2 linked regions of the Nothobranchius furzeri genome follow. The protein of the gene in region 2 interacts with the protein of the main gene of each other region in a pairwise test. Links are inferred from orthologs where the notes say so. Each region holds a gene or a part of one and is shown on either strand. Other genes may lie near its edges.

Region 1 (3,757 bases), on a different chromosome or scaffold from region 2:
GACAAACCCGGAAGTAGTTTGCCTTCTCCGGTCTGGAAACAGATGAGAAGCTGGGAATACTTAATTTCATTGATAAAGGTAAGTTTGTGCCTAACGACTCATAAATTGAGGCACACTGAGAAGTCGCTTTAATTGATACTATGTCAAAGGCGTGTTTTCTTTTATTTCGTGTTTGAGATTGAAGTACGTCATTGTTTACATCCGACCGGCTACTTGTAGACACGTGCACGTGCACACGCAGCAGTTCACTTGCTAACAGCATTAGCCGACCTGTGAACGAAAATCTACAACCGTCACCTCTCAGTGATGGAGTATCTGCTTCCAGTGTGCTTGTGTGAATTTGACGAAATATTTTACAGGAGTAATAGTTTTGTTGATGAACGAGCATGCTAGTTCGTTAGCCAGTCGGTGTTTACCGTCAGAGATGGTATTAGCTAAATCAAATGCGGTTTGGTGTGACGCATTTTCGCCTTCGCTGTGTTTCTCTGTTATCTTAGAGATCGTCTTGAGCAATCTGTACATGTACACTTTGTGACTGCAAGTGAAGCGGTTAAACATTTCATCTTAATTCAGCGACACACTGTCCTTGAAACCACCAATAATGTCTTCCGGTTGTTTCTTTATGTCCTTATTTTAAATGTTACCAGTCTTAGCAGCAATAGAATGAATGTTTAGCACTTTTTAGTGACTTCCAGAATTTTGTCTGAGTTGAGCTAGTTGGAGTGTTTTGTCTTTAATGCTAGAGAATTGGCCACCCTAGTGTCGTGTTTACATCACAGCTGGAGTTACTGACTTTATTGGACCCAGGAATTAATTGAAAATGTTGTTCCCTCTGATGGTAAAAGGACAGGTTTGGACAGGCTGTGTTGTTGAAGAGCAGCAGTACAGTTAACATGGTTGATTATTTATTCCTATGACTATTTTCATTTTAATTTGTGAGGAAACTGTTTTAGTCTTGTAAAAAGAGAGTTGTCTTTTTCTATAATAATACAGCACTTACAGTGGCTCTGAGCTGAGTGGAGCTTTAATTAGATAGATTAAATAAAACCAGTCACCATTGTCGATGGATTGTGACTGTTCTGCTGCTTAAGAACATGTTAAATCCCACCTCAGCAAAGAACCATCGGTCATTTGTCACCTCCTTGTTCCTGTGTGCTTCCATACTTATATAACTGTTGCCCCTCACCAGGCTTTAAGACTCTACTTTCTGTCCCTCTAATCCCTAGTGGTCGGCTTGTGACCATGTAGCGTGGCGTTTATGCAGCGTGCACGGCCAGGGGGCCAATCATCTCCAGCCATCATGGCACAGACACGCAGGACTGGACAGAGCAATGGGCCGGTGCTCCTTCCATGTCCTCGTGTGTGTGTGTGTGTGTGTGTGTGTGTGTGTGTGTGTGTGTGTGAGGCAGAGAAAGACGGATTTAGAAAATTAACAACGCAGTGTTTTATAGAGTGCAGTGAGTAGATTTACCAGTTTCTAACATAGTTGTTCTAGGCTGAGTTTTGTCTTTAGATGTTGTTGAAACCATCACCTGCCAGGCGATAAGCCTCGGTTCACTATTGTTTCCTATCAGCACGGTCCTGATGGAAAAAACTGCAGGTTCAAGTCGTACTGCACATGAGTCATGCTCTCTCAACTTTGCTAACAAGGTCTTATGGTTTTGAGAACAAAAAGTAAGTGTCTAGTAATTGATCTTGGCCTGAATTCATCTCTGATCTATTGTTCTGTCGAGATGAAGAACTCTAGAGCAAAAGTGAAATGCATCATGAAAGCTGGAGATACGTCTTACTCTTATTATTATTATTATTATTATTATTATTATTGTCTGAAACGTACATGATCATGAGAAACGTCACCAGCAACCCGTTAAACTTTTACTTCAACAAATACCAAGCCTCTGATTTTAAATAGGGGCAAATTCAACTTTGTTCACCATCTGATTGCAAAAAGCTGGAATATTTAATTATTTAGTGCCTTTCTGAAGCATTTAGGTGACCAGTATTTAAAATGAGATGTGCAGTGGAAATAAAATGCACTTTGGAAGATAGAAATTCAGTTAATGCCTTTCAATTTTGAGAAAAAGTTCACTCATTTGTAGCACAAAACTATTTGAATTAAAATATCACCGTGTAGTTGACTTTAGAAAAAGATTTAAAGCAAACACTTCGCTGGTCTACAAATAGACAGCAACACAACATGTTCTAGAATGTTTTTATTAGGCCTCAAACTATGATGAAGCCTTCAACATTTGGGTTTCATGACATAATTGCAAACAATTAGCAACTTTTCTACACGTTTCTTTGGTACAAGTTTCTCACAATGCATCTTTTTTACACTCAGTATTTTCACAATTGTTTTGCCACCTCTCCTCAAGTTGTCTAACATTTATCACACTGGAATCAGGTTCGACAATTTTGAAATGAACTTTTGACACGATTTGTTTGAATATGTTAAAAATTACCCCAACTTAAAAGAGACCTGTGACTCGTAAGATACATTAGAGTCTTCTAAAATGTTTTCTGACATTTTGGGATCTCATCCATCAGTACTTGTTGCTGTTTGTCACTAATAGTTACAGCTCAGTAGATTAATTTAAAAGGCAGCTAAAACTTTTAAACCTGCTCATGTTTAATGTATGTTTTTTTTTGTTTTTGTTTTATATATTTATCCTCTGGTTTATCATTAGCAGCAGTGTCACATATATAAAATGGTACTTATTTACATTCTAGTTATAATAGTTTTAACACAGAGAGGGAAAAAATATGAAGCAACTACTTTGTAAAATGCTTAAAATGACAAAACTAAAGAAACTAATGTTTTTTTTATTGATACAGTCAGCCTCTGGATGCCACCGACTCCTCTGCTGTGAGCAGAGCGAATGTGTGGTCTTTGGGGGAAATGTATAGCTCCATCCAAGACTTCAAGATGTTAGAAGATGATCTCTACCGAGAGGATGGAGGAGACTCTGAAGTGTCGGAGATCAACAGTGAACTGGAGTTCCACCTCTACAGCCAGCTTCACTACTCCTCCAATGCTCTGGAGCTGGAGGATGATGAAGAGAAGATTTTGGAGGACCAGCAACTGCTCGAGAAGACCAAAGACGGTGACGGAAAACCGGAATATCCCAAAGACAGCAAGCCTCCATCACCTGATGATCACAGTTACCAGAAACACCTGAAGAAAAAAAAAGTTGTGAAACAGAAGAAGAGACAAACTGTCTCCAAAGGTCCGAAGCTGTCATCATCTGCCTTTGAAGAGGTTATTGTGATTGACTCCAGCCCAGTCGTCATCTCCATCTCTGAGAGTGATTCTTCAAATGATGATGGCATCTGTGCCATGAAGACCTCAACTCCAGGTCGACAGGTAGAAGCACAATGTGCCTTAAGCTATGTCCATATAGTTTAGATGATGCAAACAGATTTGTCATTTTTATTCAGGTGAATATCTGAAAGACTTACTTTGACTTTTAATTTGTGAGATTTTCTTTTCCATCTTAAAGGTGTGGAAAACTGAAAACATTTTTTATGATTATTTCTGGATATAATTGATCACTCTGAGTTTTTCATGCAGGTTGAACAGGAAAACAATCTTCTACATCTATCTCCTACATTAGCTTTTGATAGAAAACAGACAGTAAAACTCATGGACTCACCCATTTTGATCCACAATGGGAAAGGTTGTTGTTAGGGCTGCAACAACGAATCGATAAATTTGATGAAAATCGATTACTAAAAGCGTTGGCAACGAATTGCGTCA
Region 2 (2,860 bases):
AATTTCAACATATTTTAGAGGTTTCTAACAGGCTTGAGTCTGATCATGTTGTAATTTGATCATAGAGACAGTTCATGCAACATCTCAACAACTCACCTTGAAAATGCTTTAATCTGACAAACATGTAACAAGCAGTAAATGAACAGATTCTCATTGCTGCCTCACCCTTTTGTTTGTGCAACAGGACAGCAGTGAAATCCACTTTAAGGTGAAAATGACCACACATCTAAAGAAACTCAAAGAGTCGTACAGCCAGAGACAGGTACGATCAGCTGTAGCTCCTATTGCTGCTCGATTCTTTACTCTAAACCAAACAAAGAGAAACTCGACGAACCCAAACGTCTTCATGTGTCCTCTGGTGCTTCTCTCACAGGGCGTCCCAGCGAGCACACTAAGGTTTCTGTTTGAGGGACAGAGAATCGCAGACAACCAGACTCCAAAAGAGGTAAACATGGCCGCCGTGGCCTTATTATTCTGTCATGTTGATGCTGAAACTGTTCTTAGTGTGTTCATTCTCACCGATCTGTTTTGTTTACGCTCTGAACCTTTCACTGACTCGTTTATCTGGGCTGCTGTCGTGTATTTTATAGTCACGGTTTGTCTCCGGAGTCCTAACAAGATGATTAGATCAGCAGCTTTTCACTATATCACAGATGTGGGACTGTAGGAGTTACTAACGTTTCTGGTTTGCTGATTTCTCTGCTGTGTGTCGCTGGCAGCTTGGGATGGAAGATGAAGACGTCATCGAGGTGTATCAAGAACAGACCGGGGGATTTTGGAACGATTAAACCTCTCAGTTTATTATTATTTTGATTTTTTTTGTTTTGTTTTTTGTATGTATGTATTGTTGTTTGTTTTCAAACCATCTGGATCATAATGGACTCACTGGGCTTCCAGGTGTGAGACAGGGAGGTGCACAGACAGCAGGTCCCTGGTTCTGCAGATGGAGGACGTTCTCGTTGTCAGCCCGAGCTTTAGCATTCTGCGTCATATCGGATTCCCACAAATCATGCCTCTGTGTTGCTGCTTTTGTTTTTTTTAATCACTTGTCAAAGGGTTCAGAAATAAACGTCATAAAAGCAAATGTTAAAAACACGTACTGATTTTTAAGTGGCTGTATGAGTTATAAAAACCAACAACGTTGTTGTCCTGAAGCCCGGATATTTCACACCGTTTAAGACTTTCAGCTCTGCTCCTGTTTGGGAAATGTCCTCAACGAGAAATAAATGGACAATATCCAGATTTAGTTCAAACGAAGCAGGAGACGGAATTTCTAGTGTTGCTTGACTTTAGCTCTTTAAACTAAGATGTGAGTGGTTTTATTTTTTTTTTATATATAGAAGTAACTTTTAAAGTGTTTGAAACGGTCCAGGCAGTGAAACACGTGTCTGCTTCTAAAAGATTTTATAATTTCTTTGCAACTTCAGGGCTTCAGAGGTTGCCATGACAACAGCTCTTTTACTGAATGGTCAGAAACCAGAATGTGTCTTTTATATTTAACTACCAATGTAAAATGATGTTTTCATTTAAATAAAAAAACCTTTTGATTCTAAATTTGGATTTTCTAAAAACACTTTTTCTGTGATCCAAAAGGATCCCAGGAAGCTTTTCAGTAAATCTTAAAATGAGTTTCATTTTCTACTTTTACTGGGGTGGTTCAACAGCCCTGTCTCTGCTCAGGCTGGGATTACTGGGCCGTAATCTGGGCTTCTGTGGATTAAATCAGTTTTCTACATCTCATCCAAACTAAAACTTCTCTGCTGATATTTTATGACTTTTTTATTTTAGTCGTGCTTGTCTTGTATATTTTGTGTTCAGCATTAATGTGTTTGAATGGAATAAAGTATATATAGATGAAAACTTTCTGCTGATTCTGTCCAGCAGTTCAAATGTTTTTAAGCAATGATTTTGGTGCTTCTTTGGAAGCGTACATGTCTTGTGATGAAATCTGAACCCGATAAAAACAACCCGAACTGCTTCGTAAAGCTGGATAAGGATGTGATCCGATGTTTGACAGCATGAACTGACCTGAGATCAGCCGTCTCTACTGCCACACGAGGGTTTTCTCCACCATCTGTAACAATGTGGAGTTACATCTGCTTAAATTATAGACATACACTTTAATAAATGAGTTGTTTCCTTCCAGAGATGCATGCAATAAAAAAGTTCAGAACCTTTGGTTTAAACTTGTCGGTGTTTGAATAATGAGCAGCTCAGGTGAACTCGTCTCCACCTGAACCGGGAGGGCTGTGATTGGGTGGAGGAACCTTGATGCAGATGGTTTGAAATGATGGGAGATGTGATTTTTTTATTTGAATAAAATATTTAACGGAAAATGCTCGTGTGTGTGTTTTATTGTGTGCTTGTTCTTAAAAATATTTCTACTCCTGCTGAATTGGAAAGAAAAACATACAAAATGCATGAACCTGTGATCTTAGTTTTGTACAAAAGTCATTCAAAATAAAGATGAGTCATGTGGGGTCTCAGAATAAATCAGAAGTATTCAGCCATGTCAAACGCTGGGTTGTCTTTGCCACTGGGGATCACAGCCTTGTGGTCGTTTGGTCCTGATGCTGAGGAAGTGCTCTGATGCAGCTGCTCCAGCACAGAGTGAAGCATCATGGGTATTGTTCTCTCTGGCAGTTTGTACGAACAGAACACAATCCCAGACACAATCATGAGGACAGAGCCCACAATCCCCACGCCGATGCCTCCTCCCACCTGCTGGGACTCTGGTGCCCGAGGAAACTCGAACTCGGGTGGAAACGCGATGGTCTGGTTTGTCACAACTGAGCTCAGATTCCAGAGGAGAGGAACAAGGGCTAGCACAGCTGCCAGCAGGCACAGCACCCCGGTGCTG

What was found. The genes of interacting proteins can lie anywhere in the genome.
Region 1: the proteins of sumo1 (region 2) and zcchc7 interact in binary tests that used the Homo sapiens proteins (3 or more experiments, as listed by UniProt). The link is inferred for Nothobranchius furzeri from reciprocal best matches to the Homo sapiens genes SUMO1 and ZCCHC7.

Annotation. Positions count from the first base shown.
Region 1 is NC_091747.1:79,092,219-79,095,975, reverse strand, and holds the start of zcchc7 (zinc finger CCHC domain-containing protein 7), read left to right. Parts: upstream 1-1,415; 5' UTR 1,416-1,618; coding exon 1,619-1,674; intron 1,675-2,835; coding exon 2,836-3,364; intron 3,365-3,757.
Region 2 is NC_091743.1:83,218,294-83,221,153, forward strand, and holds the end of sumo1 (small ubiquitin-related modifier 1), read left to right. Parts: intron 1-184; coding exon 185-262; intron 263-373; coding exon 374-445; intron 446-719; coding exon 720-788; 3' UTR 789-2,336; downstream 2,337-2,860. Other genes in the region: claudin-34, read right to left, coding at 2,494-2,860. UniProt on the Homo sapiens protein: Ubiquitin-like protein that can be covalently attached to proteins as a monomer or a lysine-linked polymer.